3 linked regions of the Lepisosteus oculatus genome follow. The protein of the gene in region 1 interacts with the protein of each later gene in a biochemical or structural test. Links are inferred from orthologs where the notes say so. Each region holds a gene or a part of one and is shown in the gene's direction. Other genes may lie near its edges.

Evidence for each region. The genes of interacting proteins can lie anywhere in the genome.
Region 2: the proteins of cAMP-dependent protein kinase type II-alpha regulatory subunit (region 1) and akap13 form a complex in vitro, tested with the Homo sapiens proteins (3 studies listed by BioGRID, with this or other methods). The link is inferred for Lepisosteus oculatus from reciprocal best matches to the Homo sapiens genes PRKAR2A and AKAP13.
Region 3: the proteins of cAMP-dependent protein kinase type II-alpha regulatory subunit (region 1) and akap1b form a complex in vitro, tested with the Homo sapiens proteins (2 studies listed by BioGRID, with this or other methods). The link is inferred for Lepisosteus oculatus from reciprocal best matches to the Homo sapiens genes PRKAR2A and AKAP1.

What each region holds. Positions count from the first base shown.
Region 1 is NC_090699.1:65,621,272-65,628,100, forward strand, and holds the start of cAMP-dependent protein kinase type II-alpha regulatory subunit, read left to right. Parts: upstream 1-3,820; 5' UTR 3,821-5,257; coding exon 5,258-5,495; intron 5,496-6,829. Other genes in the region: slc25a20 (mitochondrial carnitine/acylcarnitine carrier protein), read left to right, coding at 263-353, 445-562, 1,067-1,139, 1,542-1,651, 1,828-1,952, 2,251-2,313. UniProt on the Homo sapiens protein: Regulatory subunit of the cAMP-dependent protein kinases involved in cAMP signaling in cells. Type II regulatory chains mediate membrane association by binding to anchoring proteins, including the MAP2 kinase.
Region 2 is NC_090700.1:54,735,333-54,742,538, forward strand, and holds the start of akap13 (A-kinase anchor protein 13), read left to right. Parts: upstream 1-4,195; 5' UTR 4,196-4,464; intron 4,465-7,206. UniProt on the Homo sapiens protein: Scaffold protein that plays an important role in assembling signaling complexes downstream of several types of G protein-coupled receptors.
Region 3 is NC_090721.1:6,861,381-6,868,252, reverse strand, and holds the start of akap1b (A kinase (PRKA) anchor protein 1b), read left to right. Parts: upstream 1-3,861; 5' UTR 3,862-4,023; intron 4,024-4,082; exon of another isoform or gene 4,083-4,167; intron 4,168-4,199; exon of another isoform or gene 4,200-4,268; intron 4,269-4,389; exon of another isoform or gene 4,390-4,608; intron 4,609-4,638; exon of another isoform or gene 4,639-4,769; intron 4,770-6,872.

The sequences.
Region 1 (6,829 bases):
GCGTAGTGCACCCCAGGAGTATTTGCGAGCGACGCTCTGTAAACCCAAATATGTGCCTGAACTTCTTTGTCCTCTTGTCTCCCTTAACTCTTTCATTCCCCATCCCTCCCTCTCTTTCCTGGTTCACTCCCTCTTCCATGTTGTCCAACTCTCTTTTCCTTCTCCCCGCCCCTTCCTGCCTTCTCCCCGCCCCTTCCTGCCTTCTTCCCCCCTTCTCCCCGCCTCTTCCTGTCTCCTCTCCATCCTCTGCCCTCTCTCTCAGGTATCCCCAGCTCTTCGCAGCGGGAATGCTGTCGGGAGTCTTCACCACTGCCATCATGGCTCCTGGAGAGAGGATCAAGTGCCTCCTGCAGGTCAGGGCCGTGCCCCACGGGTGTGAGGCTGGGTTTGAGCCGAGAGCGCTGTGTGGTTGAGTGACAGCGGGTTTACTCTGTGGCCCTGCAGATCCAGGCAGCCTCGGGGGAGGTGAAGTACGCCGGGCCGCTGGACTGCGTGAAGCAGCTGTACAGAGAGAGCGGATTGAGGGGCGTCTACAAGGGCACGGTGCTCACTCTCATGAGAGGTACTGACGAGGGAGGGCCCTGGGAGACCCACTGGGAGACCCACTGGGAGACCCACTGGGAGACCCACTGACCCATTGGGAGACCCATTGGGAGACCCACTGACCCATTGGGAGACCCATTGGGAGACCCATTGGGAGACCCACTGACCCACTGGGAGACCCGTTGGGAGACCCACTGACCCATTGGGAGACCCATTGGGAGACCCATTGGGAGACCCACTGGGAGAGAGACTCTAGCACTGAGAGAGACACTGAGAGACACACTGAGAGAGACACTGGGAGAGACACTGAGAGAGAGAGAGAACGTATTTGTTTTTTTTTTGTTATACGTCATTTAATTTGTTGTTGCTGCTGCTGTTCTGTCTTTATCTTTTGGGCGATTCCTTTGATGTCTGTGTATAGGAGCGAACGTGCAAATAAGCATTTCATTGCGCCTGTGTGTATGACAAACGAACCGAACCGCGAGACTGAGACCCTGATACCGGCGCTGTCTCCCTCTCTCAGACGTGCCGGCCAGCGGGATGTACTTCATGACGTACGAGTGGCTGAAGCACATCCTGACTCCCGAGGGCAAAAGGTCAGCGCCCGTGCCCGTCTCTCTGCAGCCGCGCGGGGGGCTGGTCAGCAGTGCCCCTGACCGGGGGGGGGGCTCATTGACCCCCCCCCAGAGACGACACAAGTGTCCCGGGCACCGCTGGGGGCTGGGGGTGTGATATCCAACCGCTGGGCCCAGAGCCCCAACATGCAGTTCTCTGGTCACCGCTGGCCCAGATGTGGCCGGGGACCCGCGGGCCTGACCGGGTCGGTCAGGGGGCGTGTGCCTGGGGGGCCCGCCGCCACCTGGCGATCTGGGGCTACTATAATCGTACGTTTGGATCGGGGTGCGTTCGGGCTCTCGAAACCAGGCCGGCTGAACAGAACGGGGAGGAGAGCTGGCCCACTGACCCCCCCCCTCTCCCCTCCTCTCCTCTCTCTCCAGTCCCAACGAGCTCAGCGTCCCCAGCGTGCTGTTTGCCGGGGGCATGGCGGGCATCTTCAACTGGGCAGTGGCCATCCCCCCGGACGTGCTGAAGTCCCGGTACCAGACCGGTGAGACGGGTCGTGGGCCGGTGGAGGGAGGGGTGGGGGAGAACAAGAAGGGGTCTCTCTCTCTGCTCAGGGGTCAGGAGGGGGTGGAGAACAGAACAGTCCACTGAACTCTGACTGGGGGGGGAGAGGAGGGAGGGGTGTGCACTGACCCGGTCCCTCTGCCCCTCTGTCCGCAGCGCCGGAGGGCCGGTACCCACATGGTTTCCGGGACGTCCTGAGAGAGCTGCTCCGCGAGGAGGGCGTGGCCTCGCTGTACAAGGGCTTCACTGCTGTCATGCTGCGTGCCTTCCCTGCCAACGCTGTGAGTCTCTCTGGCCAGACTGGGGCCACTGAGCCTGTCCTCTCTGGGCAGCCAGGTCTGCCTGTGTCCAGTGTCTGTGTCCAGACTGTGGCCACTGAGCCTGTCCTCTCCGGACAGCCAGGTCTGCCTGTGTCCAGGCTGTGGTCACTGAGCCTGTCCTCTCTGGGTGGCCAGGGACTTTCCCAGTTCTGTTGAATGCATATGGACAGTGTTTCATGTGTATAAACCTGCTGAATGAGTGTTCTCCTGGTATAAATCTATCTCCCCCTTTCTCTCCCTCGCTCCCTCGCTCTCTCAGGCCTGTTTCCTGGGGTTCGAGGTGGCCATGAAGTTTCTCAACTGGATCGCTCCCAGCTTGTGAGCGCCGCCCTGCTCTGCCCTTTGGGGCAGCTGGAGGTCAGGACACAGACGCACCTGTGGAGAGAGGGACAAGAGCCAGACCTTTGCAGTCCTCGGCTGCAATATCTTTTTGATTGTTCTCGTTTTTCATTCGAAATTGCCTGTTTTTTTTTTTAACGATGGCCTTTAACTGAGACTAAAAAAAATGATTTAGAACACTTTGCCTTAAAAACCTTCCTGAATGTCAAGCAAGCAGTGCGCTAAAATACAGGGAATACCAGTGTGTGTATATAGAATATATACTGTACACCTGTATATATGTGTATATGTACATGCCCTCCAGTGTGTGTGGAGAGGAACATTTATTGACCCTTCTAAGCTACAGTTCTGACTCTGGTTTAAACCCAGTTATCAAACGAGCCTGACCCCAGCACTTGTGTGTATTTGGTTGTGTTTGTGTTATTCTGCCTTTATGTAGCTGCCACTTTTTATCCAAGGTGCTAACTGGACGATGAATGCGCTTGCACTACAGGAAGCAGGGCAGTAGGTTTGCCTAACAGCATCTTAGAAAGAAAGTCCTCTAACCCGATCGCAGTACGAGGCGAGCCGCTGCAGCCGTGAAAGAGCAAGGGGCAGGTTAACGTGTCTGAACACGAGGGTGCAGCACCAGGAGTGGCCACCAGAGGGAGCCCTGCGCACACGATGCACCCCCGGACCTGGGACCTCTAGCGCAGCGTGGGATAGCCCACCGATGTGCACGGTCAGCCGCATTAACAGTGACCCGCTGCGCGGAGTTCACCGTCTGGTACCGGCCCACCTAATCAGATACGAAAATAGAACGGCTTTAATTACCAGGATTTCAGACAAAGCCGACTGGGTCACGAGGGATTTACGCAATGTTACGAAATGGGGTTAAAGGAAAGGAGGCGATGATCGATCCCAGCGCACCCAAGAAGAGTGAAAACGAAACGCTGGCGTGCGCGAATGATGCACCCTGTACCTTACGCCGCAGACCTGCCCCGTGCTAAAGCCTTCGGGCGGGCGTATGCTAACGAGCTTTGGAAATGCCGTTAGTTACTGGCCAAGCGGTGCAATCGGGATCCAGCTTATCGATCACGCTTGATCAATCGGAGTGCTCCCTGCTTTGCCAGGCGCGGTGTCAAACACACCTCCAGCCCCTCCCGCGTTCTCGGCTTCCCCTTTCGTGACGTCTCCTCCCTGCCTGGCCTTCCCATTGGCTGCGCCGCCGCCGCCGCCTTACCTCGTTTCCGATTGGCCCTCTGTTACACAAGGCCCCCCTCACTCGCCCGCCCCCCGCCTCCGCTCATTGGTCCCTTCCGATTCCGCCACCGGGGCCCCATTCCCTCCCCTCCCGCGCGCGCGGGGCGATAACGCCTACTCCATGCCCAAATAAGGGAAAATTCTTGGCGTCGGCTTGGCCGGGCCGGCTCCTGATTGGCGGGTAGGCACGTCGCTCAGCGGCTTCGCCCGGGCCCCTCCTCCTCCTCACTGCCGCTTCTGCAGCTCCGGCCGAGGAGAGCGAGGGTCTCGCCGGCAGCGGCACAGCGAGGGAGACGCGGAGAGAGCGGGAGACGACTGTAAATATCAACAAGCGGATAATTCGTGTTCGAGTAACTGACTCAAGAAGAAGCCGGGCACGCCGGGGACTCCTGTCCCGGGAGGAGGAGGGGGGACAAAAGTCGGGTTTTGGTCGGCGGCGGCAGCAGCAGCAGAGGGACGCTCAGAGGGACAGACAGCCCGAGCCGCAGCCAAGGGTTTATCTTGACTTTTGGACTGACGCCTTTTTTTTTTTCCTCTCCTCCTTGTGACTTTGCTGTATTTTGTTTTTTTTTTAAAAAAAGAGAAAGCCACCCGCTCTTCGGGAGCTCCCGCGTCCCCCTTTCTCCCTCTGTTGGCGGTGCGGAGCGCAGAGGCGGGCGGGCCGGTCCAGGCGGAGCGGGGTGGACGGCGCTCGCAGCCCCGGCCGGCCTGCTCCTCCCCGGTCTCGGCCCTTCATGGTCCCCGGCGGCCCGGGCGCTCGTCACGGGCCAGGCAGCGAGGGGGCGCCCCGGAGGAAGGGGAGGTAGACGGGGAGACCCGCAGAGGAGGCTGTCGAGCCGGGGAGTTACCTCGCAGCCTCGCCCGAAGGGGCTGGTCGCCGCCGCCGGACCGGAGACGCGGGCGGATAGATCGAGAGATAAATAAAGCCCACAGCCTCACGACAAGCCCGGAGCGGTGAAGTCGGCGGGGTCCCCCATACCCCCCAAAAAAAAAAAAAACCTGCCCTCCAGCCGGGGCGGTTTACGCGCGCGCGAGCCGAACGTTTGTTTTTTTTTTCATTTAAAAAAAAAACTTTTCCTCGCCTCGAGCGCACGGGGGGGGAAGGGCTCGAGCGGGGCCTTAACCCGACCCGGCCACGAGCCAGCCGCGCCGGGGTTCGTAAACACCGCCGGTTCCGCACGGAGCGGCCCGGGCTGCTCGTCTGCGTGTTCCTCCTCCTCCTCCTCCCCGAATAAACCAGCGGGTCTGAGCCGCCGCCGCCGCTTCAGGAGGATCTGTGCGATTTGGAGCTGTCAGAAAACACGTCCCCGCGTGTCTGTGTGCAGCTGCTCCCCACGACAGAGTATTCCCACTCGTGTGTGCATCGTGTAATCGGCTTGCCGTACGCGTGCTCGTGTTACGTTAGGTATTATTTCCCAGTCAGGGGGCACCGTGTTGTGTTATTTTTTTTCTCCCCTCTCTCGTATTGCATGCACTTCAGTTTCAACAACAACAGAAAAAAAAAATATTTTTTCCCGACCCCGCCCCCCCCCCTTCATTCCTGCGCTATTTTAAAACGCTTTGTTTTTTTTTAAATCAAACAAAAGCTGACCCGACCCCTCCTCCAGACCCCCACATACACACTCGCACACCCTCCTCTGAGGGGTGAGTTCACAGGGGAACGAAAATAAACCACAGGCAGCGCCATGAGCATCGAGATCCCGGCCGGCCTGACGGAGCTGCTGCAGGGCTACACCGTGGAGGTGCTGCGGCAGAGGCCGCCGGACCTGGTGGAGTTCGCGGTGCAGTACTTCACCCGCCTGCGGGACGGCCGGGCCGGCAGGGCCCCCGCCAAGGCCGTGCTGTTCGACGGCGAGCCCATGCAGACCGAGTCCAACGGGGACGAGGGCGAGGAAGACGACGACGACGACTCCGACTTCGAGCGTGAGTAGCGCCGCGTCCTGCGGGATCGTGGCCGGCGTGCCTGGGCGTGGATTGAGTCGGCGAGCGGATGGGCTTGTTTGGGTTCCTTGGGTATCGAGGGGGTTAACGAGCCTCCATAGGTGCGCGTCAGGTCAGGGGGGGGTGAGTCGTGTGTCGCCCCTCCACAGAGCGAAGTCGAGCTGAGGTGCACGGGTCTCTCCTCATTCCGCGCAGTCCCAGCTCAACAGGTCGTGCCCCACCCCCCTCACACTGGCGTGGACCCAGTACCTGACATCTCCCCCCCGCGCGTTGAAACCGTGAGAGCGGTCCACGCGGGTGCGAGACGAGCTCCGAGCACGCCCGCCCCCCCGCTGCTGATGATGAGCCGTGTCAGTGGGCTGGCCCAGTCTCGGCACCGGTCACTGACAGCGGCGCACCTGTGTGCTGAGAGAGAGTCTCCCACTCCTGCGCAGGTGTGATGATGGTGATGCTCCTCTGAGCCCGGCTGGGTTTCTCTTACTGGCGGAGAGGGTCTGTGTGGGTCCGGTGACCAAGGTCTGAAGTCATGGAGGAGCTGGGCCACTGTCACTCTGCTCTTTAAACAGGCCTGTCCCTTCAGCCCTGGTCTCAGTGGTCAGTGTGTGAGGGGTGTGAAAATGAGCCTGTGTGAGAATCCGTCAGTCTGCCAAGCTCCTCGTCTGGGCTGCTGGTGTGATCGAGCGATGGCTTCTGTGTGACTGGAGGGCAGCTCTAGAGTGGGGGCTGAAAGCCTGGGAGAGCTCGGCACCAGCAGTCTGTCAGCAGAGTTTCCTTGTGTTGTGTTGGAAGAACAAATGTTTGCCGAAGGGCCTTGGGAGTTTTTTTTTCTTCAGCTGAGCAAGATCCCTATGAGCTGTGTGTGTGTGCGTGCGCGCGCGCGCGTGAGAGAGAGAGAGGTGCTGCAAAATGAGCTCTCAAGATGTTTTTGAACTTTGTCGACACGAGTGAGACAAGTTGCAAAACCAAAATTAGCACTGGGTGCCACCGAGCTGAATTGAAGCGAATGGTTGGGGGACAACCGGTGGGGTGTTGGCTGCAGAATCCGGAGCTGTGCAGCGGCCTGAGGGACAGTGACCAGACAGGGCCCACTGCACTTCGGAGACCGGGCTGAGAGAGACGGGGAGGCATCTGTATCCTGGCGCGTTGGTCTTGGTCATGTGTCGTGTGTATACGTTTACTGTGCTGTATATACCAGTACACTTGCTGCTTGGCACTGGTGATATACAGTTCTTGGTTTTATCCACTTTTTTGTGTTTGGGATCTTATTTTAGGTTTATTTTTAGCTACAGTCCCAGAGAGAGAGGCTTGAGTCTTGA
Region 2 (7,206 bases), on another chromosome or scaffold:
AAAGATGGTGGCTCTGTCTTCTCCTCCCTCTTACCAAGTGGCTCCCTAGAAAACGAAAAACACTAAGCCTTTTCTTATGAACGTCACCGGGTTGATGTAAGTGGATCGGTCTTAACTTTAATTGGCCGGTGAATCTCTTCAATAGGTCAGTGGCAATCTCACATGTAAGCTTGCATGCTTGTGCTCACTTTCTGTTGTGTGTGCAGGAGAAGGAAGAATCAAAGTGAAGGAGCAGGGTTTTGGTAGAATTACCACGTGGGGGTGTCTTAGGGTTGTCTGGCAGCAGCATTCTCTGGCAGGTCTGACTTTTAAGCATGTGCCATTTCTCTTTTCTGGAGAAATGTGGCTGCCCTCTCCTCCCCCTTACAGCTTGTATTACTTGTTTGATTGAAAATATTTGAAATGTGTATTAGTCATCTGCCTTATTTAGAATCTAAAAATAACGTATTGATTGTAGTAGCAGACACTATGTACTACAGTAAAAATGCAGCACCTTTGCTATTGCTGTACCAACCATGTCATAGGCCAGCTGTCACCTGGGTGCCCTCCCCTGCAGGAGCTTGACCGACACAGCAAAGTTAATGTCTGCCAGTAGTGAACTAGCATCCCTAAAAACAGCGACACCTGCTGGGCACCTGCAGGCTTGCAGAGAGAAGCACCACTTGTAACAAGTTGTAGAGCTTCTCAGAAGAAGGTGTCTGCATGTCCCATTCTCTCCTACTGTAGGTAAGGTGGTACAGCAATCGCAGCCACAAAGCCAAGCCATGTACAATTGGGTTGTAATTGTAAAAATATACGTAAAACTCCCTCTAGACCTTTAAAACTTTTTTGTCGTTTTAAAAAATATTTTATATAGTTATTTTTCATCTCCTATCCTTCATTGAAAAGAAATCTTCAATAGTGTATCATAAGCAGTTCTTTATACTGTTTGTGCTGTAGGGGTAATCTGAGATGCTGATTAATTTGAAGACCCAGCTCATACTGTATACAGTCCTGTTTCATACTCAGTGCTAAGCACTGAAGGCGATAGGCCCTGCAATAAAGTTTTGTAATTGTCAGTTTGACATGATGAGATGAGATTGGTATCCTTTTATAACAGCTTCACCACATTAACTGGAACCAAAATCAGGCCTTTTCTGTCTCTGAAGTCATGATCTCTAAGGCGAAAATCCAAGAGGCTCCTAAACACCAATTTGATCAGTTTCTGCTCAGTCCCATGGTCCTGAGAACCACACACACCATACAGCCCGCGCAGCTCAAGGAAGCAGAATGGTGCTCTTCCTGTTGCACAAGCCTGATTACAGAGCCTGAGATCCGCTGAGCCTCTGCATCTCAAGAGCACAGGAAACACATGGTGCAGTTCAAAGAGGATAAAAACAACATTTCATGTGGTGTCTCTTAATCGGTTCAGATGGGCAGCCTCTGCAAGCCGACGGAGAAGTCTCGGGCTCAGCGTGGCCCATGCCAGATTGCTCCGACAGCTCATCTGACTGCTCCTGTCGTCAGCATTTTTTTCGTCTAGTCCTGCGGCCGTAATTAAAACCTGGCCTGCAAAGGGTCTCCCACACTCCAGCCAGCCTGGGGTCTGCGCTCTGCCGTGAGGGCGATCCCACAGCACGAACAGCAACACCAAGTCTGGCAGATGGGACTCAGATGCAGCTGCTGGAAAGGAAAAACACAAACCACATGGTTCTTGTTATCCCGAGCAGTTAAAGGGAATATTTATTATCTGCTCAATCAGGGGACGCATGATTCTTTGTAGCCAGGTGGCCTGAAGGATAAACACACAAGTCTTATAACCATCCATTGCTCTGAAATTAGTTTGAGCAGGAGGGAAAAAAAATAGCAAGTTTGTACTTGGCATGTGTCTGCGCAGTGTTGCATAACACTGCACATTTGATGTTGAGAATGACAGAAAACATTCATGAGGAGATGGGTTTCCATGTCAGCAGGTAACCAGGTACCCCAGGAAATCAGATGTCTGACCAGCTAGTTTCCTCACAGAACTCTTTGGCTCCCCCAGACAGTAAAAAGCTGTGTTTTGCAGCCTCCATGAAGGTGCTCCTGTGATATTGGAGCCTGGAAGCTGTAGCATGTTGCTGAATGTAAACAGATAAGATTAAGAGCTCTTCAGCGTTCATTCACTTTTTTTTTTGGATTCCATGTATCGCAGCCAGAAAGTTGTTGTTTAAAGACTGGAAGAACCCCAGATGCCTGTGTTTCTTCAACACTCTGCTGCACTGTCTGCTTCCTGTAGATTTTGAATTCCTGTGAAGGACCTGAAGAATCGAGGCGTATTTCACCTTTTTTCCACTGTATGGTGCCAACTGGTTGTTTATTGAAATGACATAATCTACACTAGATAACAATACACATCCTCTTGTACACACAGGAGGAGGACAGCTGTCTGTAATAAGGTTGTTTACACAAGTGGGAAGATGAAACTCAGTTTCCACATTGACATCACCTCAGATGGTGAGTGGCACAAAAATTAAAAAAGGCCCATTTTGTTACGTGTATTTCCTTTTTTTGAGTGCATGCTGATGCAGCCATCTACTCAAACCTGTTTAATCAGTATGTGAAGATCTTTCATGGTTGAATGATATGCCTGGTAATGGAGAGACATAATAGTTCTAAACTTACTTTAGCTGCAAAAATCAAATACATCTTTTAACTTTTAGATAGAATTGTGGTGGAATACGTTGGCTTTGTATTGTATCAAGTGGTCCAATTTTGTAAATACACTAAACGAAGAAAAGGTCAATGCATTACCCCTATAGTCCGCCAGAGGACACTGAAGTAACCGCAAGAGATTTTCAATTTTACTCGCACGCATACAAGGTATTGTTTTAACGAAGAGTTAATGCGTGCGTCCGTGAATTTTAAGAAATAAATGCAAAAATGAAGCATGTTTATGATGGGCTTATATACGAATATCTTGCGTACTGAACGTTTATTGGTTGATAATGCATATTTTAAAATTGGTTTATTCATTCTAACCTGTATTATAAGACAGTATACTGTTCTGTTTATTTGACAGTTTGATGTAGGTTTCAATGTCCTGTTTCCTAACCCTATTTTTAAGTTTTCCTGATACCAGAATGTCTGGCACGTCCGATGGTCGATACAGCTCCCAGTGAATTCAGTTCTTCCACAAGAACACTTCTAACACTGTAAAGCTCTGCACAAAGAAGGCGGCACGCACGCGGCAGCGTTTGTATAATAAGGTAATGACGCCTCAGACTTCATGCAGCTGTAATTAGCGCATCTCAGTCTTTCATCACAGTGTACGGAGCTTGGCTAAAGCCTGGCGTTTCCCGTAATAGCAATTACGTTTAAAGACAGTGATTTGCTAAAGAGGGTAGATTACTATTTTGTGAACACTCCACCCTTTCATAAAACCAGGTAGCTTGTTGAACAGCGTGTATAACCGTATATTAATATAGTTGGTCATGTCAAGAGATGGCATTCTCAGAATTTTAGCATTCAACGCTGAGAAGCATGTTTGAAAGCAAAGCCTTTGCTTTTTAAATAAACGTTATAGATGTCAATTTTCTTTCTATTTGAAAGATTCGTGAAATACACAATAAACAATAATAGAATTGTCTTTAGGAACTAGTACCACTTTGCTTTTTTAAAGGTTATACATATATTTTTATTATTGTTCCGATAGTGAAACTAGTATAACACTACTACAAATGCTGAAAATGTTATTCATCTTTCTATATACGACTAAATTATTTTTAACGGCCATAAAATAGCTTTTTAAATAGTGTTATACAGGTATGGATGGTATTTAATCAACGGGCAAAGCTGCTCATTTAAACTTTCGCAGATTTACTGGAAGACTTGATTGTACACTGGTTTGTTACCTTTGGCAACGGTATTTACTGCCTCGTAGTCTTAGGAAAGTCGACAAAGTACAGAGTTAAAGTGACTAAATAAACAACAGAGAAGTAAACACATTTTGAGGGATAAAAAAAATGAACAACAACAGCTTCTATCTTTTCATAAATTGCAAAACGGGTAATTACCTTGCTGATAATCATACAGTGAAGAAGGTCGGATTGACAGCCCGTCTGACCAATGAAAGTCGCTGTCCGTCGCAGCCGGTCTCCGAGCCTCTAAGCTGGCAGGGCCCGCCCACCGAAGCATGCTCCGTGCCGCGCAGCACACAAGAACAGTGGGAGCTGCAGAGTAACTAGTGGTCGTTTTCCCTTTAAAATCTATTCATTTTCTGCTGTATTTCCAGGTGGAGTTTTGTTGTTGATCTTTTAATGCACATTGAAGGCGTAGTCTTGGAGGATTAATTTTCCACACGTACACCGGCCAGCAACGGGGTTGGAAGAGCGAAGAGAAGTTGTTGGAAACAATGTAGGTTTGTCCTTGCTAACTTGTAGCTGGATCAGGGCAGGCTATGCTCCTTAAAGGAGAACACGCGAACTGAACATCACGAAGTTCGAGGTAAGAGGCATCTCAATTATTTGCGTGAAATCAACGTTTTAATAACTAATCGCGTGTTTAAAACGATGTTTTAAGGACCTCTTGACACTTGTTGAATGTTGGTAAAATGCTAAGTCTGAAATCAAAATACTATTTTATTTTCTGAGGCTGACGAAAGAAAGTTATTCATTGTACTCTGCGACTTCTGGTTTTATGAATGTTCTTACTGTCATTACCATTTTAGCGCTGTTCGAGGACATGATAATCTTGGTCATGCTTGATGTTTTTTAAACGACCAGTTGCAATTTTCTTAATTTCCGTAACACAAATTCACATTTGTGTTACGTACGCGTCTGCAGGGGCTTTGTGTGATAATTTCATTTAAAGTCTGAGCTTTCCTGTAGCCGGAGTGCGTAAGCATGCTCGTAAATGGTTGCAGTTTAATTTCGATTTATTAGCAGCGCTTATGTTCGTATGAAAATGGGGAAATGGAAGTAATCAGTTGAAACTTTTTAACGGACGCTTTTGTGTGTATGATACTGATAAAAGTTGATCTCCAGAGACATAACGGGAGTTTACTGCAAAACGGTACGATGTATTTAGCGCTTATTTGAAGGTCTACATGTGAAATGTTGTCTTGGAAAACCACTCAGGTCTTGGTATTAAATATTAGTGTCAAGAACGTTGTTGGTGACTCCAGTATTGATTATGTTGTGTTAGTTCTTTCAGTCCAACTCGTCGTGCAGTTATTTCAGAGGTTGTTTTTACCAATTTCAAATTTTAAGCTTAAGTACTTAATATGATCATGAAGTTAAAGCATGTTACATAAACTTACACCTTCTTGTCCCCTCGCTTCGCTGAGCCCTGCCTCATCCGCAGCGCACGGATTACTGAATCTAGGCCATACAGCCCCCTCGGCATCTCCAAAAAGTTTGGAGAACTGGACGCCAGCCGGTTGGAAAGAGCAGCTAGGAAGACGGGACAGTGTAACTTCGCTGTTTCTTGTGGCAGCCTTCACAGTGCGGTAGAACCAGATTTAATTTGTCGCGAATCACAAATAAACACTTCTGAGTCACGATGGGCTTGCGCGACGAGCCCAGATGTGACAGGAGGGGAGAAAGTCTCACCCAGCTCAGTACGAAGTCAGACCTTCCAGGGAGGCATTGTCGGAGCGTGAGTGTTTGAGCAATGACCGAGCCCATTATCACGAACAAGATAGCGTGAGTAATGCACTTCACCTCATTTACTGCGAGTGTTACTCCCCGACTCGCATCTTTTCATCGGCATAAAAATGGCTGAAGAGCTTCCCAGTTAACTGGTGCCCATCAGGGGTCAGTCAGGTGGGCAGTTTTGATGGTCGGCAGGACGGCCCGGATTCTAGTTCATCTTACGAAGAGCTAAAGCACCTTTACTTTTATTGGATGAGAACTTTTTGGTAAATTAAAATCTTTTTTTTGGATAGATTTTGTAGTTCATCTTTTTTCCCCAGCTCTCATTGAATGCCAATTAGGCGTTAATGACCAACTGGTAAAGAAAGTCTCTTGCAGTGAGCTCTGGTAATTTGGGTCAAAACATTTTGGTCTGTCATCTTTAAACCATTCTTTTACCAGTCAAATGCAATTGTGCTTTTTGAGGAAGTTCAAGTTACAGGTTCATGCACTGTTAAATGCAATGAGCAGTTCATGATGTGGTTTCAAGGGTAACGTTAACTTTTTATTCTTGTCATTTCAAGAGCAGCATGTAAAACAGACTGTTTTCTCATAATCTCTAGCCTAATTGGGATGTTTATCAATTTGAGGGTTAAATCAGTGCTCTGTTTTGTAAAAGCTAGCTATCTCAAAGAGGTTTTGGTGCTCTTATTTTTTTTTTGCATGATTATTGAAGATCATTCTGCATGTCCTGAAGTTTGTTTCCTGTGATGCAGATACTACATTCTTAGCATGTGACTCAGATTTGACCTGGACTGCAGACAGTATAACACTTACTAGGAGGTGTAAAAAAAGGTGTGAAAAATCTAACGTACTGTTGATTTCTAAAGGCCCAGGTGGATATCGTGATTTTTCTGAAGTGGTTAGAAAATGCTGCCTCACCCTCAGCCTTTTGCTCTGAGGTGCAGAAATTCTCGACACATAATCAAGGCTGAATTAGCGTCATGGTAAAAGGCAGAAAAAACCGCTTCAGACCTGTTTAGCCTCTTGTATGGAGAGAACACAGCTGTGTGCACGTGCGGCTCAGATCCTGTCCTCTTTCTGTGGGTCTGGGTGGAGGGCAGAGTGGTCTGTCGAGGCTCTGCTCCCAGCACACCTGACTGCATGATCAAAAGCAGACGACCTGTCAGAATCCTGTTTTCCCCAATTAAACCAGTAGTCAGCATTTAACATTGGTTTTGCCAGAGGAATGATCAAAAAATCAAGCTTTTCCAACCTGTTATTGAAAAGAACCCAACTTAATTTTGCAGGGCACAATTTTAGCAATGTTGAACTGTCTGCATATTCAATATTAATATACAAATTGAACATTATATCTAATCAACTACAAATTCTGTGGGTCACATACTGTAATCCAGGACATGTGCCTTTGCTTATCTCCGTATGTGCATTTTAACTTGCATTTTCCAGACATTGCAGTCCAATGGCTTCAGACAAGGATGTGAAAATTGTTTTCCGTTAAGAGAGGTTTTTGCTTTCCTGTTTAAAATCTTTAGATTTGATACCTAGTTCCCTGTATGTTATTGGGGTACTTTTAAAGCGAGTATGCATTCAG
Region 3 (6,872 bases), on another chromosome or scaffold:
GTCTCTCTAGGTTTTGGACCGCCAGTAACCGAGATGCTGTACAGGAGAGGCCTGAGACGAAACTGATTCAGCTGAGGGGAGGATTCTGGGTGCATCTCTGCTTTATTTGTGTTTCGTGCCAGGGTGCAGAATGCAGTTTTCCCTCCCCAGGCAACTTGCTCTCTCTTGTCACAAGTGTCACCTGGCGCAGCGCGATGCAGACGTTGCGCAGAAAGAAATCTCGCACCTTAGCAGAAGGTGGGAGAAGCTCTGTCTGCACAACTGTATGGGAAGGGAAAAACGACTAGTTGGATCAACTCGCTTATAAGCCTTTAGTCTCCAATGCGGGGTTATTTCAGTTTTCAATAGATGATACCGAATTAGTAAAAATTGTTTATTGAATAGGAACAAACTTAAAAATATTTTCACTCATTTTGGAATTCCCATTTTCTCACCCTTTAATGAGAAATATTTTGCGAATTCCTCCTCAAAAGAATGCTCTGCACCTGTGTGACAATGGTACGCAACTGTAGGGGGAATAGCGATGGACTGGGAACTGGATACTGAAAAGGTTAGCAAGCACAGACGTGACGTTTGTTAGCTGGGAACTCCAGAATATGGCAGACTGAGTGGCGGCTGTTGGTTTGCATTGCAGAGATAAAGGTCCTGCCTCTGACTGGACAGCGAAACAAAGCTCATCCGGAACCGAGACCTTTTAAAAAATACAACCACCATTTTCTGAGGGCACCTAATGATTTTCAAAAAGATTTTAAAAGCTGAGAGTGCACATAGAGCAGATGACCTGGTTTGTGTGAAGGCTGTTTTGTAGTGTGTAGAATTGCACTATTCCTAACTGCAGTCAGACATGTCGTTTGCAAGGAGTAATGACCTAAAATTAGGCACCTCTTCCACGAGGTTATGCAAAACACATTTTCGCCACAAGGAGTCACTGTTGAGCGTTAGCCACACTATTTTTTTTAATGCAGTACGTTTCACCTCTGTAAATATTTTGTGTAAAATTTGACAAAGGTATATTTACTACACTGTAAATACATGTGACGATATATTGTATTATTTTGCTTTTTTGTAAAGCAGTTAGTTGCTGTACATGTATAACATACAAATTTAATTATTCTAGTGTTAGTAATGATACTCTCCACTTTCATTGCATTATGCCATTAAAATAAACATACTGAGAAAAAAATAGAGATGACTACAAATTGCTGTGTATTATAAACTCGCACTGTGTAAGGTAAACTTTACTGTTCCCTTTGGACTTCGCCATGAGCAATGTTACCTTAATGAATAGCCTCATTCCTTTTACTTCTGTGTGGCAAAGACATGCCAGAGGAACTCATCAGACGCTACAGAAACTGCTGTCAGATTTGGATATGTTACTCGTAGCTACCATTGTAGAAATCATTGTTCAAAGTTTTTGCTCGTCCCACCTCTCTCCCTTTCCATTTCCATCCCTGTATGTATGACTTTTTTTGGAAGTAAAAATGTAAATTCAACCTGTTAACATCTGTTGTGCTGGTGTCCTTCTGTTCGGGTGACCCAGGCAGAGAGCCGACAAGTCCTCCGAGATAGCTGAAGAAGAAAAAACGCACGTTTTAAATTATAATTAAGTGAACTTTTTTTTTAAAGCAGTCCAGGCAGATTTTTCTGTATGGATGAGCTGATGGGATTATTTTTGTCCCAGCTTTATTTTTGTGTCCGGCTTGTGCTCTGAATGCTTTTTCCCTGCCAGGTAACTTGCTTTCTCTTGCTCTGAACTTCTTACAAGTGCATTACCCACTGAAGCTAGAGCCTAAATACAAGACACCTCAGGACAGGTGGAAAACCCAGTCTGTGAGGCCTTTTGTGCAAATGGCTAGTTAATGGTTAAACTAGCTGACTAGTTGGGTGTAGCTGATGCCTTTAACTGTAGTACCATGCAGGCACAAAGACTGGAATTGTGCAGTGCCTGTTTTGGTGGAAAGGGAATCATGTTTAAGAAGAAGACATCCTGCTGTTAGAAGTTTATGGATCCAAGAAACTATTTTAGATTACAAATATTTTTGTCATTAGCACCTCTTATATCTACCTGTGAGTTTTATATTTTAAGCTCAGGGACCATGAGGAAAAAACGTTAAGTAAAGAAAGTTAAGGCAGATAGTGGCTGCTACTGTCAGCTTTCCTGTCCTGTGGACTTGAGCTCCTTGATCGATCTCTTCTTGTGCTTTTACTAACTGCAGAGGCACTTGAGGGAAGTACGCTTAATTGCTTAGTCAAACCAGAGATTAGCACCATTCACAATGCAAAACCCTTTCTCTTGCGAAGGCATCCTGACGCACACTGCACAGTTCATCAGACGCAGTCAGCATCACGCTCTTGCATGATGAAAGCATGCCCGCAAAAATTAAATGATCGTTACTGACTTTACATAATCTCACGTTTTGGGATTTCTGCTCCGAACATGAAAAGGAGGTCCATAGACTTTAGGGGGACTTTTCTTGCTTCACAGGCAAATCAAAATAAACTTAAAAAATACAATAACTAATAACATGAGAGTTAACAGATTGTTTAGCCTTTCATCTTGTAGATTCTTCCTCATCCCAGGAAATAAGATTAACTTTGTCCCCCATGGGGAATTTTTTGTATGGATGCATACTAGTTCTGTACATCTGAATACATTACAAAACATTGCATATCACTTGTATTGTACATGCATAACTCATTTTTTAAAAAATAGGGAGCCCTAGATTATACAAATCCAGAGTGTAGTTTGCCCCAGACACTGGAGTTAACAACCTGCCTCTTGCCCTGAGATTTTTAATACAGCAGGATCTGTTTAACTCATCTGAAGGACAGCGCCTCCTATGGTGCAGTGTCGCCCATTGGCTGCCACCTACTGGTCTATCACTACATCACTACAGCAGGTTCTTTTTTGAGATACATTTTCCCGTACTGACCAGTCCCAGCTCGGATGCGATCTGGACAAGACGAGATGGAAACGCTTTTAATTAATTAATTAATTAATTAATTGCTTACACTTATATCGCGCTTTTCTGAACACTCCACTCAAAGCGCTTTACAGGTAATGGGGATCCCCTCCACCACCACCAACGTGCAGCCCCCATCTTGTTTTTTCCACCGTCTCAGTAGAAGACACCGTTTTTAAAAGGGGGTGGCTGCTTTTGTTTCTTAGTATGATAGTGTATAGACTGTATATTGTACTGCCCCGCCAGGCGGGCTGAGAACAGCGCCTGGGGGCGGGACTACAGGACGGTATATAGTAGGGCGGAGGCTGCGAGACAGCCCCTTCCTTTCGTGTGTGTGTTAGAGAAGGTGCAGCGCTGTAACCTCTGTCCTTGTGTGTGTACCTTTTCCGGTTCAAGTTCAAGTTAATAAATGTGTTCAGTCCTATTCCCCGAGTCCCATGCCTGCTCCGTTCCGTACCGAAACCCGAATTCGTTACAATATTCTAGCTCCCAGGAGGTTTATAACAATGAATGAGCCCAGCCCCACGTTAAATCAAGTAACAGCAGCGATTCTTATTTTCACACCAAAAGCCAGGCAATATGAGCTGCCCGTGCCGTCAGATTCTCTCAGGCCACCATCCGTGAACACTACGAGCTTTTCTCGTCGGCCCGTGACGCGTCCCCTCCTCCCAGCCTCGCGATAGGGGCAGAGGTCGCCCGCCGCGGAAACCCACGCCATGGCGGCTCCTGGCCGCCCGGCGCCGTCCCGCCGGCGAAGCGCCGGGCGCCTGAGCCAACATGGAGGCCGGAGGGGCGCCAGTTTCCTTCCTGCTCTAAACCCCGCCTCTCGGGATTCGACGCCTGGCTCGGAACCTCCGCGAGACCCGCCTGGCTGCCCGGGCCTGTCGCGAGATGTGATCAGCTGTTGTGTCTGTTTTTAGAGTCCAGTGTCCGGACTGCCAGCACGTGGGGAGGAGAGACAGACAGAGAGGGGAGCACGCTGGGGGATTAAGAGAAGGGCACGAATCTGTTTAGATAGTCGCATACAATTCACGGTGGCGCTTTACAAAAAAGAAAAACAGTAAGTATACGTGCGCTTCGTATCCCACACCATGTGCGGCGGCGGCGAGGCGAACGGGGCTGTCGGCTCAGCAGGCGTGTTAATAGTAGCGTTAGATTTCCTGACGTAGCAGCGACCTATCAAACCTCAGGGAGCACCGGAGCCGTAAGTTAACTTTTCAGGCGAGCCTTCCCGACTCGAGTCTCCGAACTGGGTTTTTTTAACCCCCCACCACCACCACCACCACTCACCTCCGTGCATTCCCAGTAGGTCTTTGCTGTAGTTTGGAAGAACAGAAAACGGGATTATTCATTATTTTTTGTCCTTTCTCCACACACACCCCCCCTCCTCTCGGTTGGGCACAAAGACACCGAAGGAGGCTGCCTTGTTCTGGCCCGGAGCACCGGAGTATCGCACCGGCTGGATTGAGGGGGTCGCCCGCCCGCGGAGGCGGCGTGTGTGATTTCGAAAGTGTAGCCGTTTTGAATCTTTCGCTTCTCCCTCCCACCATCACCACCTCCCTGGCCCCCCGTATAGCGGCGCGGCACCGCCTGCGACCCGAGTCGAGGAGCGGGGTGGTGTGGTGCGCGCCGCCGGACCGGAGAGGTACAAAGACGGCGAAGCGGGGAGGTTTGAAGGGCCGGAGCGGTGATCCTCATGGGCTCGTTAAAACCCGCTAGCGCCCGACGCCGTGCTGAAGGCCGCCGGTAGCCGAGTTCCCGGTGAATTTGACGGAGGAGAGCGATTCCGTTTCGGCGGGTCTGGAGGTGACTCATTCTCCTCATTCGCCCAGTGACCAGGAGCGCTGCGGCCTACCTCGCCTTCGCAATATACCGCATACATATACTACAGCGGCATCGCTCGTTTTGCATTGTTTCCTTGGTTTTTGTCGTCTGCGGTGCCGCATGACTGGGGTGGAATGAGATTGTTGCCTTTCTCTCTCTTTTTTTTTTAAAATTCGGTTTCCCCACTGGCGAAATGTAGCGGGGATGGCGGTGCACCTTCGCTCGTCTTGTAGCAGCTTGCAGTCCCTGCTTTCTGCAACGTGCCTGACGATGCTTGTGTGTGAGGTTGTCTGTTAAGTTTCTGCTGCAGAAACGGGGCTTTTCGGAAGGACGCCGGCGTGTTGTGTGTGTGTGTTGGGTGGGGGGGGGTTTCCGATTAGACCTTGCGATACACTTAAAATCGCCCACTTGCTCGGTTTGTCGACACGCCGGGCACACACACGGCCAGCCCGGTGTCCCTTGCGCCCGCTTGCCAAGGTCGCGGCGCGGCCGCAGTTATTTTATCTCCTGGTTCAAGGTGAGCTTTGGAGGGGAGGCGGTAACGCTTCATTAAGGACGGGAGGTTAGGCCTCGCGTGCCGGTCAGAGCAGCCGGGGAGATCCTCTCCACGCGTGGGGAAACAGGTGTAGGTCACGGAAGCAGACGGCGTGCGCGTCGCTCTCCCTCTTCTTCCTCCGCCGTCACCGGAATGTCGCTTTAAAAATGTCGCCGTGTGCGCTTGGGTGTGTGTAGTCGTGGGCTACCTGCCTGCCTGCGGCTACAAGCCGCCTCCCCACGGCGGGCGAGACAGAATCCCCCTGGGGCGAGTGCACGGCAGCTCTTCGGGAGGTTAGGCGCCCGTAGTCGTTGTGGAATCGTATCGTTGTTGTGGCGGGATGAGTGCATGTTTTCTTCTCCAATTCGCGAGCAGCTGTGAAGTTTTCAACTGACATACTTGTTAGTGAACTCCTCCTGTTGGAGTTTTAGTGGTGCTTCATCACTCATTTTCTGTGGTGCGGTTTGCGGTTGCTTTTTCCTCAGGTTTAGATGAGGTGTGTTCACTTAGTTAATGGTGAAGCCTGGTTTTTCATGTTCAAAGCATTTTTTTTATACAACTGCAAAAATAAATGTGTCTGTAGGTGAAGCTCAGAATGCCTTAACCGAGTTCCTCGTTGTGAATGGGATGGCTGCTCCTCGAGCTGGCCCTGGTGATGTTAAGCATCCACTTGTGTGTGGTGGATGATTTCAGCATGAGGAATGAAGGGCCCTCTACTTCCCCGGATAGCCATGAATCAAACCACAGTCAGTCCGCTACTCTTCTGCCATCAGACAAGGTGGCTGGAAGGTGGAGGAAATGTTGTGTGCCACATTGAGCTGAATGCATTGTGGAAGGTTTCCTGCTATGGGATTGAGCACTGCATGTTTCATCATTGTCATGGCTGTGGAGAGGGGAGTGGGTGACGTTATTGGCTTGTTTGCGGTTCTTGCCGCCACGTACTGCTTGGTGCTGCTTACCTGCTCAGTCTCCTGTCCCGCAGAGGTTGATCAAGCTAAAGGTCTTTTTGGCAATGCGCACAAGGCAGGCAGGAAGGCGGTGTGATCCCAACTGGAGCGGAGTGAAATACTGTAAAGGGGACCCGGATTGATCTGAGCCAAGGGCATTTAGACCTGCCGTTCTTCCAGCACCTCACACTGCAGGACTTTCCAACAACCTGGTCTTTAATTATTTAATTGGCCCGTGCAGCATGCAATTAAATAATTATGCAATTGACTGATGTTACAACATGCTAGAATGGAGAAGATGGGGAAGGAGCGCTTTGTGTATTTCTGATCTCTTAACTGCCAGGGTAGACTTGACGGTTACCTCTTGTTTTCCTGAATGACTTCTCACTGTGGAAGCCTGGACTTGGTTAGGATTCACAGTCCACCCCTGCAGAAACGGGGATGATGTTGGCAGCCTCTTTCAAGTCAGTCAGAAACGTAGGGTTACCTTGCGGTTTACTTCTGTTTTTAAAAAAGGAGGATTCAGTCTGCTCTGCGATTTTAGCTTTTTAGTATAATTTTGTTTCCGGTCTTGGTTCTGGTAACCCGAATGCGGAATTGGAA